Arabidopsis thaliana: one gene and its partner. The protein of the gene in region 1 interacts with the protein of each later gene in a pairwise test. Each region holds a gene or a part of one and is shown on either strand. Other genes may lie near its edges. The genes, in order: AT3G23060 and AT5G45490.

Region 1 (5,315 bases):
TTTCCAAAACAATGCTAAATGCAAATAATATATCAAACAGAAAAGACCCAGATTACACAAACAATAAATATTCAAATGATCTGGACTCTGGAGATAATACGTGTTTAGTTTTGAAAAAGCAGTTTAAGAAATTATAGTAGCATGTCCAATTGTTTACTAAATTAAAACCACAAATTCGAAATGTTTATGTTATTATGATATTTGAACTGCTATATATGGGAGTTTGGACTCTTTTATTTCTGTTTCTGTTTTTGTACTAGACTTTAAGTTTCTGAGTTCAATATATATATAATCAGCATATTAACAATCATTATCATGTACGTGAAGTTTCATTCCAAAGATTTATTTTTTTGACTTAAATATCTGTTTTCTTAATTTCGTACGACCATTCAATTCTTGCAATGTCTAAGAGAGTGGCCATAGGAATTCAAAATTTGATACATGATGACACTTTACAAATAAATCCAAACTAGTACAAACCCAAAAGCCTCATGAGGCCATAATATGCAAGGCCTAGTTTACATCTTTTAGAGGTTCGTTTATTATAGTTTACTTTCCAGGAAGGCCCTTTTATTTACACTTAAGAAAATAAAGCGAAGGGAATATGTTGACACACAAAATAAGAACAAAAGATAGGTGAAAATGTTTTTCTTTTTTTTGAAAATCTACATTGCACTATTTTTGTTTTATGATAAATTAGATTTTAGACATGAAATATCTCCTCATATATCAAACACTTCACAAAAAGGATTCACAAATATTTTCACGTAGTATTCTTTATATACCAATGTTTTGTCTATAATACATTTAATGTGAATTTATACAGGACTAATGTAAATTCTATAAAATCTTATCATAAAATTCATTAAGGAGATTCAGAAATATTTTCCAAGAGACATTGTTCTTGTACTACACATTTCAAAACACTAATAAAAGTAGCTTAAACATTATTTTTACGTAAAAACAAAAACCAATTCCTAAAACTGTATTCTTGTAAAGACATGTAGGAAATATTTATAAATATTCTCTCTAACTCGTCAAATAATATATGAGATCATTTTTACACATGTAGCATCAGTTTAGGAAAAATATAAATTAAACAGTATATCTCGCATAATACAGAAATTTGGTATGGTCCAATATGAAATTCAATGTATATACATGAAATTGTTTAGAAAGATTTGGAATTTTGACAAGTATATTACATGCGGATATTTTTCTTGAAATTGAACAAACATAGAAAGAAATTTACAGTGTATTTAGAGATTTTAAGTCAGAAATACGCATTTAATTTAATTTTACTTACATAGTAAGAAATCTAAAATTTCATTTGTTAAATACGTAATTGCTGACGTCAAAAAGATGTAAATTTTATAGAAGAATTTAAAAATTTTGAACACGTAAACTACATGTAGATATTTTTCTCGAAATTGAACAAAACGTACATAGAAATTTACAAAATATTTAAAGATTTTAAGTCAAAGGATAAGCATTTAATTAAATTTTAAATAGTAAAAAATCTAAATTTTCATTTGTTAAATACGTAATTGGTGACGTAAGAAAATGTTGTAAATGTTTTAGTAAGATTGAAAGTTTTTGACACGTAGATATTTTTCCCGATATTGAACAAAACCTACATAGAAATTTACAAAAATCTTTAGAGATGTTAAGTAAGAAATACTCATTTAATTCTATACTACTTAAATAGTTAAAAAATCTAAATTTTTATTTGTTAAATACGTAATTGCTTACGTAAGAAAAAATGTAATTTCCTTATAAATTAGTAACGGCCAAAACATAATGATTATAAGTTAACAAAAAGAAAACTAAAGAGCCTGAAAAATAAATATAAAAATATATATACAATGTAGACCTTTTATGAACAAATTTGTAACTCTATATTTGAAAAACTTTGCAATAAATTGTTAAATATAAATTAAACCTAATGCATCACTCATGTAATCATTGGCATAAAAACTATAATATATTTTCTTTGTGAGCCACCGAAGTTTAGCTTTCTGTCACTTTGACCCTCTCTAATTATTCATAGTTTTAAAACCAACCCTCTCTAAAAATACTTAAAAGCAAACTCTTCCAAAATCAAAACCTCTTCTTACACAGATTTTTTTTTTCTCTGAGAGAGACAGAGAGAGCGAAACTTGAGAGACCAAAATCCAATCTTTTCAACAATCGATTCTCTCTGAGAAAACCAACAATAAAGCTAGACACTTTTTTTTGTGGGTTTGTCTTCTTCTTCGTTCATGCACCATGTTGTGTTACGTGAACGAAGAAGCTATATAATCAATAAATCTTATCGATTTGTTGAGTTTGGGAATCGGAGAGAAAGATGTTAACAAAGGTGCTTAGTAAGGAGGTTAAGCCATGCCTTGCTTGTCCAATCTGCACTAATCCGTTTAAGGATGCCACCACAATCTCCGAGTGTCTCCACACCTGTAAGTGTAACCCTTCGATTGTTTTTTCCTTTATCTTTGTGATTTAGATTCTGATTTTTTGTTTGTGACTATCTCTCTGTTTATTGGTTATATTAATTAGTGTAGACTAGAGATTATATCAGATTGATTCTGAAACTTGGAAGTTGAAACCGATGTTTTGTTTAGCTTTTTGGTGTTGTTGTGTGTGTTTCAACATGTATCTGTGTAAATATTAAGGTAAGCAGATAAGGACTGTTTTTTTTTGTAAGTGGATGATTCAGTGTCTGTTTATGTCTTTGTGATTTCAAAGTTGCTGTTTCTTTAGCTTGTTATGTTTCTAGTCCTGGCTTTAAGTATTGGTATATCTTGTGTCTTTATATGAATTGGGACTTGTGGAATTTGTGGTAACAGTTTGCAGGAGCTGCATTCGTAACAAGTTCATAAATGAGAGAGTGAACGCTTGTCCAGTCTGCAACGTTAACCTCGGTGTTTTTCCTCTAGAGAAACTTCGGTATGAACTTGTTTGATTCTTAGCATTTGCATCTATCTTTATGCTTTTATGTGATTTGAGGTATCTATATAAGTGCAGGTCGGATTGCACTTGGCAGGATTTGAAGCTGAAAATCTACCGAGCAATGATGGAAAGCTTAAAGAAGGCAGGACCTAAAACTGTTGCAGCGTCTGTGAAATCTTCGAAAAAGAAGAGAAAATCTCGAACTTCACTGCGGGTCTCTTCATCTAGAGTATCATCCTCACCTGATACTCCATTGGAACCAGCCAATGTGGTTGTGGAACCACCTAATGTGGTTGTGGAGGAGAAACATAGGGAGACCGTTCTAGCTCTTCAAAGCACTAGAAAACCGATAATCACGTTCCAGAAACGTGGGAGAAAAGCTTCACTCCCGAAGAAGATTGATTCGAAACCAGAACCCGAACTGCCTCCTAAGGAGCCTAAAATTAAGAATCTATTTGACCTGAACAACGAACCTGAAGACAATGGATTGGTAAGTATGTATATGAGTCTTTGTATAACTATTGTTCTCCTTTGTTAACTATCTGTTTGCAACTAATGTGTTTATGCATCTTAGGACGAAGCTGAAGGATCAACTTTTCAGGAAGTCGTACCAAAGGAGAAAGATCTTTGTAAACCTATTTTCTCTCTCTCTGTCACTCTAAACATCAACGATACTCCTCCTGATATCGTTGAGCCTGAGATAAGTTCGGATGACGACACAGAGGAATCTGTTGAACCTATTCAGAACAAGTGTGTTGTGAATAGAGAAACAAAGGAAGTTCCTGTTCAAGTGAATCAAAACAGTCTCCTTATTAGCTCTGATAGGGATAGAGAGGACAACTCTGGTCAGAAACTGAAGACCAATGGTGCTGCTACCTCCAGATCAAGGAAGAAGAAAGGTAAGAAACCGGTGGAAAAGAGCTATTCTTTGAGACCCCGAATAGGCAGGAGGACGGTTAATCCAGCAGCTGGTACTACTACACCAGAAGCTCCGGTTTCCGTGGAAGAGGAGATGAAAGTTGAAGAAGGACGTAACAACAATCCAGTTTGGTTTTCACTAAAGCCTTCCAAGACTCAGTAAAACTTTTTTTCTATCTTCTTTTTTCATGTCTTTAACTTATGATTCTGTTTATATTTGAAGGACTCGGTTTCTTCGGTTTTCAGGAACATTGAAATGCTACTTCCACCGATCACCGCTTGCTGCATAAGAGTAAAGTAAGTACTAATTAAATTTCAACTATAATCTCTGTTGTTGTTGTAGAATGTGTGATATTGATTCTTTGATTTGTTTTTATGTTCACAGAGATAGCAACATGACTGTCTCATATCTCAAGAAGTATCTAATGGTGAAGCTCGGTCTCGAAAGCGAAGACCAAGTAAACTAACTCTTCTCTCTATCTATGTCTCACTCTCTCTTGTCTTTTAACTCTAATATTTTTTGATGTTCTTTTGCAGGTGGAGATATGGTTAAGGGATGAGCCAGTGTGTTCGTCACTGACACTACATAACTTGGTGGATTGGTGGGTCCAAACAACTCCATTGCCTGAGCGACAAAGCGCGATGGTCGGAAGCTCCGCTGCTGAATTCATCATGGATCTCTATTACAGCTTCAAATCTGACGCCTCTGACTCTGGCTCTGCCTCTGAATAATTCTTCTCAGAACTTCAAACTTTACTCTTCTTCTAAACTCATTTCTTGCAGAATAAGTTTCTTTTGAAAGACTTCTAGTTTTAGCATCTTTCTTTATTTAATAATTGCTGAGACCTAAATATGGAAAACTCTTTATTTATTTGATTTGCTTGCTTTTTGAGGACTCAAACGGTATCGTTTTGTACTAATTAAATAGAAGCTCATTTTAGCTAGCTTGAGTTATATTTGATAAGATGCGCCGGTTTTGTGCTCTGTTTGGTTTAAGGTAGGGTTAACGAAAGATCTGTATCCAAACAGTCTTCTTTTTTGCCCGCCATGGATAAACACAGAGCCAGGAGCTTAGTGACGAACTAAAGGTGAAATTTTTATTGAAAGTTTCAATTTTTATATGGATTGGATTACAGAAACATTTCTATGTGAATAAACCAACAATGGCGATGAAGCCCAGTCTCCATTTTTGCCCAACTACTGTCACGAAGAAGTTTGTCTACTCGTTTCAAAGCTCCTTCTGCTTCCGTTTCTTAAGGTATAGTTCATCAATTTCACTTGGGTCTTGTAAAGGTGTTACCTTTAGTTCGAGAAATGATCAAATTGCATCGAGGAGGTTTAGCTTTAGTAGGGATTGTAATAATGGTGTGTGGCTAGAGAATTGGAATAGAATTCAGAAACGTAATCAACCTAAACCTCCAAAGGTAGTTGTGAATTATCGAAAAGAAGGG
Region 2 (5,888 bases), on another chromosome or scaffold:
GCCAGAATTCGAAATGCAAAGTTACCGTTTTACGTCTGAAGTTTCTTCCAAAACTAAAAGTGGAGTGGAGGGATTTGAGCAAAAGGTACTTTCCGGAACTCAAGTTCTTGGAGAAGTATCAGTGCCCTCAAGTTAGTCTCTGCCCCTGCGATGGAATTGGAATCTGGCGCAAGCCTGAAGAAGATGAAGTCTAAAGCATCTCAGAACTGAGAGTTTCTCGGTTTATCAAGTTTTCTTCCTCGTTGTCTTTTTCTTTTGTTGTTGTTGTTGTTGTGTGTTTGCTTCCTCATTTCCCATTGATGTCTTTCTGGTTTTGCGTGCAAGTGTTGTTGTTTGTGAACAGTTGAATAATGGAAATTTGCTTTGCTTATTATGTGATACTTGTGTTTTACAGAAGCTACGAAGGAAGAAGAAAATATATTATAATTTACTGAGAAGGTCTACAAGTGAAGAGAGGCTAAGAGCAAGAAACTCTGATAAACTGCAAATGCAAGAGTACTAAGGAAAGAAGCTCTCTTAATAGTCTCTCTGCTAATTGAAAGGTCAAGATACATTACTCAGAGATTCTGGTTTATTTGATAACAACAGTGTAACAAACAGACAACATCAAACAAGAAACACATACAAGAAATAAAAGAAGCATAAGCAAGGTTGATAATAAGCAATCTTGAGCCAAGAGGCTGAGTCAAGTTATCCACTTCTCAGGAGCTGGCCTGGTTTGCAGGTTGGCGGTTCGATGAGTCGGTTTGTCCATGGGTAGAACCAACAGGGCCAACTTCATCGTCAACAAAGACGGGATCACGCTCAGCCAACAGTCTGGCAGCCAGAGGAAGACCACGAGACTTATTCATCAGCTCATCTATACATTTCTTGTCGTTCCTTGGTGACTCTTTCTGTTTATCTTTAACCACTGCATCATATATCTTCCAGACACTCTGATGATCAGACAGCGGCCAAAGACGATGGATCTCATGTTTCTGAGCAACAAGGTTCTTCGCCAGATTCTCATCTCTGGTCGTGTATATGACTCTCCCACCAGACCCTTTAGGGAATCCATCTGAAAGATACTTTCCCCATTTCTCATCCTCCTTGAGTTTCGCATCAAGCTTTTCGTCCCAGTTATCGTTTTCCCGAACATCATCAAACACAATCAGATATTTCTTCCACCTCAGATTCAAGTGAAGTGCATAGAGCAGAGCAGAGAGCTCCTTCTCTTTCTCCGTCTCTCTATCAATTTCTCCAGCTTCCTGATTGCTTGCAACTTCCTCATTGTCCTTAAATTCTTGTTTGGCATCAGTACTGATAGTTTCGAGGATTAACTCTTCAACTCCAAGACCCTTCAAGATCTTCTTCAACACACATATCTTCCCATCAAGTCCCTCCTTAGATTCTTTGTTTTCCATAGACACCCAAACCCTGGGAGCATAAACACTCTTCACAGCTTCATCATTGAAGATCTTCTGGCATAATGCTGTCTTCCCAACACCATATTCTCCGACAATCACAAGACTCTTGAACTCCCTCCTAACCTTCTGATCCAACAAGAAGTGTTGCAATGACTTGATCTCGTTATCGAAACCGTGGATGTCATGGCCCGGAAGTTTAGACTCGGTTTTCAGACGCTCTTCTTCTTCATTATCATCTCTCTTCTTCTCCAAGTTTCCTTTAGCAAGACCATTTACGTCGAGCCAGTCCTTACAGGTCGTAATGAAGTTGGTTGTGAATTCGTTTGTGAGGACTGCCTGTTGTAGATTTTTTGAAGGCATATTCAAGGAAAAACGGAGAAATCTGCAGAAAGAAGATGATGAAGAAATGGTTAGGCAAAGGAGAGAGAGAGAGAGAGAGGTATGAGAATTAAGTAAGGAACACTTTTGAACTACAACAATTAAGTTGATTTTAGTAGATTGGACATAGAAAATTAGTTATTTAGAGACAGATTGAATCGGTAACAAAAGACATTGGGCCAAATTCATAAATTACGTCAGGTTATATTATAGTATAAATAATTATAATCTTTTCAAAAAGCTGATAAATAGACAAAAACCGATAGCCGGCAAGAAAAATTATAATCAATATTGTTTTAAAAAAATGTTTTTAGAAAAATGCGAAAATATCACATTACTAATTTTTTGTTCCAAAAATATTATCACTAGTTTATTTTCCCAATAATACCACTAATTTTTGTATAAAAATGTTTGTTTGACCAAAATAAATTACAATATTTCCACCATTCAAAAGAGTCTTCTTAATATGAATTTGTGATATTCTTGAAAAAAAAAACTAAAATATAGTATTTTTAGAACAAAAACTTTAAAAATGATATTAAGAAAAGTGCCTTTTTTTTTAAATTGATGTGATGTAAAACCTTTGAAGAACAAAAGAGTTTTTATCATTTAAGAAAGAAAAAAAAAACAATTATCTAAAATCAAATTGACGTTTTTTTCATTTTTAAACAGACGTGTTTGATTATTGTATAATCACAACTTGTTTTGCATAAAAGTTTACTAATAAATATAAATAAATATTAACGACAAGATACATCGTTCCCACGTTAATATATACACAACAATTTCGTTAGGAAAATATAATTAAAAGACCTACATCTCTAAAGTCATCGTTATATTGACATACAAAAGTCGTCGTTACTATACTTTTAAAGCTTCGATTATTAAAATGCCCGACTCTACCATGGTTAATACATCCAACCCAAGTGTAACATATTTTTTAGTTTATATCCAGCTGTGATTATTATTATATTTAATAGGTAATATTAGAATATAAAGTTGAATATCCCAACTCGCTTTCTGGAAATTTTGTCATCACATGAGAGACAAAGACGTGAGAAAATAAATATTTTCGTAAGTAAAATTAATATGGTTGGTGGGGAAATTTAATTTTGGAATTTTTTAAAATTATCTATAATTGGAGAAAATAAATGACTCTTAGACCATAGCCATAAATACTCTGTATATCCATTCGAATTTAACGTTACTGGCCACGTCATGTGATAATAATTGAATTGCTACCAAGTAAGGGAAAGTACCAAGTAAGTTCCACTAGAAAACGTGATTTTCGTTAGAAAATAACGAAGCAAGAAGTATGGTCAACAAATGGTTCGATATATTTAATTCCATTTTTGGTTGCCGGGTAAAAAAGAGAAAGTTAGAAATATTATAAAGTTTGAATATATAATTAGAAATTTTTTTAAAGAAAAACTTAAAAGTGGTTTCTTGGAGAAGTAACAAATATTGAGATGTGAAAACTTTTCCCGTTGTCACTCATTCCAATGTCTAAGGTCATTGAGATAACCTCGTAATCGTATATCTAACTACTATACTTTTGCAGTGTTATTCTTTAACCATGTGATTTTAAGGAAAAAGACGAGAAATATTTAGATAAAAAAGGGATTAAAAATAAAATATGTTTCTATAAAACCACTCAAAATAGTTAGTTTAAATAAATTTATGCAAAAAGAGGACAAGATAAACATAGCATTATAATTTTTACAAAACAAATATAGCATATATTCCCTTCATATCATTTCGTTATCAAAAGAACCAGTGGGCTCTTTGAATACTTGTTCTTCACATTTTAAAAATGAGGTAAAGAGTAAAAATTAGCAACAGACACGAATCAGATAAATTTTCGAAAATTAAACCAAAAAAAAAAGAAAAAACTTAGAGACCTGTAAGAACTGTTTGACTAACCTCAAGGTCTCCAAGTAGCCTCCAATGGCTGTCCAACCAGAATAATTCAAACCTTCACACACAACAAAAAGCCTCAAAAGCAAAAAAACTCATAGTAAAACCAGAAAAAGAAAGAAGTCAACCTCTTTAGATGTATCTGTGTTAGATCTCATAAACCATCAGTTCTTGTCTGTTTCAGCAAATCAGTTTCAAGATGGTGAACGCAATCCCAAAGCCTATCAAGGACATTTGGGACGAATGGAGCATTCGAAGTACCTTAATCTTCAGTCTCAGCCTTCAAACATTTCTCATTTTCTTTGCACCTCAAAGAAAACGCTCATCCAGAAAAGTTTTACTCTCTTTCATTTGGTCAGCTTACCTTCTTGCTGATTGGTCTGCCAATTTCGCCGCCGGACAAATCTCAGATAGTCAAGGAGATGATCCAGAACCCGGAGAACCGAAAAAGAGCGCCGAGTTGTTTGCTTTCTGGGTTCCTTTCTTGCTCTTGCATCTCGGTGGTCCAGATACAATCACTGCCCTTGCCCTTGAAGATAACGAGCTCTGGCTCAGGCACTTGTTGGGTCTTTTCTTTCAATCAGTTGCAACCGTTTACGTGCTTTTGCAGTCGTTACCCAATGCTCTTTGGAAACCTATTTTGCTGGTGTTTGCGACCGGGGTGATCAAGTATGTCGAGAGGACATTAGCTTTGTACCTGGCGAGTCTTGACAAGTTCAAAGATTCCATGATTCAGCGGCCTGATCCTGGACCAAACTACGCAAAGCTCATGGAGGAATACGCAGCCAAGAAAGATATGAAGATGCCTACACAGATTATCAAGGTTGGCGAGCCTGAGAAAGATCCAAGAGACGATGCTCCGGTAAAGCCTCCTGACGGGTTCACTCCACTCAATATTCTCCAGTACGCCTACAAGTACTTTAATATCTTCAAAGGTCTTGTGGTTGATCTCATCTTTACATTTCAACAACGAGCTGAGAGCAAGAGATTCTTTGACTCGCTGAAAGCAGAAGAAGCTTTAAGAATCTTAGAGGTTGAGCTCAACTTTATCTACGCAGCTCTATACACGAAAGCCGAGATCTTGCACAACTGGATAGGATTCCTCTTCAGGTTCATTGCCCTGGGATGCCTTGCAGCAGCTCTACGCATCTTTCAATACAAGAGCAAGAAAGATTATAGTGGATTTGATGTTGGCCTTACTTACGCATTGCTGTTAGGAGGAATAGCTCTGGATTGCATCGCTCTTATCATGTTCTGTGCATCTGATTGGACGTTTGTCAGATTGAGGAAGATGAAGGACGAAGTGGACGATCCACCCACCTGGTCCGACAACATTCTTAACTGGATTCTTGAAAACATTCTCGGGGTCAGGAAATTGAAGGTGGAGGAGTATGATGAATGCTACAAGAATACACAGTCTCATGAAGTGCCCAACACGAGTACTAAGAAAACACCATTTCTTAAAAGGATTCTTAACAGGATTCTCAGGGTGAGGGAGTTGAAGACAGAGAAGTCTCATGAAGTTCTCGACAAGAGTACCAGCAAAATACCAGGTCAGGAAGTGCCCGACAAGAGTGCCAAGACAATACCATGTCATAAAGTGCTCGACACGAGTTTCATGTATCGCCGGTGGTCTGAGTATGTACATGCACACAACCTGATCGAATACTGCCTAGGTTTAAAACCGAAGCGAATCCACCATACCAAGGGTTTCATACACATCGCCTTTGACAAGGTTATCAACATACTTTACATTGGCCCCGCATTCACAAAACTTGGAAGTGTCATTGAATCCTGTTTTAGAGTCACAAAACAGAGAATTCATCAGACTTTCAAGTGGATTGACGGTAAAGTAAGTCGTTTATGCAAGAAATACCCGAAGTTGAATGAAGAGTACATTAGGTTTAGCTTCTTCTGCATATTTTACATTCCTAGTCTACCTGGACGCTGGATAAAAAGTTTTATGGAGTTCTTTGGCATCCGAGCTCAGCTAGATGAGGTGATCTACACATCTAGTGATCGTCTCACCCTGGATATGTGGGAACACATATTCGGAGAGGTTAAAGCCAAATCCCGTTTCGCTGACGACTCTGAAAGCGCCATGAGGGTATCTTCAGCAAGAGGTGACTGGACACTGCGCGACATACAAGGTGACCCAGAAACAGAAAAAAAACGTGAGAAACTTCT

The links.
Region 2: the proteins of AT3G23060 (region 1) and AT5G45490 interact in a two-hybrid assay, tested with the Arabidopsis thaliana proteins (one large-scale study listed by BioGRID).

The regions. Positions count from the first base shown.
Region 1 is NC_003074.8:8,198,521-8,203,835, forward strand, and holds AT3G23060 (RING/U-box superfamily protein), read left to right. Parts: upstream 1-2,115; 5' UTR 2,116-2,347; coding exon 2,348-2,453; intron 2,454-2,843; coding exon 2,844-2,943; intron 2,944-3,021; coding exon 3,022-3,436; intron 3,437-3,520; coding exon 3,521-4,023; intron 4,024-4,087; coding exon of another isoform or gene 4,088-4,110; coding exon 4,111-4,161; intron 4,162-4,249; coding exon 4,250-4,322; intron 4,323-4,401; coding exon 4,402-4,596; 3' UTR 4,597-4,815; downstream 4,816-5,315. Other genes in the region: CFM3A (CRM family member 3A), read left to right, coding at 5,028-5,315.
Region 2 is NC_003076.8:18,426,942-18,432,829, reverse strand, and holds AT5G45490 (P-loop containing nucleoside triphosphate hydrolases superfamily protein), read right to left. Parts: upstream 3,784-5,888; 5' UTR 3,708-3,783; intron 2,114-3,707; exon of another isoform or gene 1,789-2,113; 5' UTR 1,767-1,788; coding exon 702-1,766; downstream 1-701. Other genes in the region: AT5G45500 (RNI-like superfamily protein), read left to right, coding at 1-194; AT5G45480 (transmembrane protein, putative (DUF594)), read left to right, coding at 3,901-5,888. UniProt on the Arabidopsis thaliana protein: Possible disease resistance protein.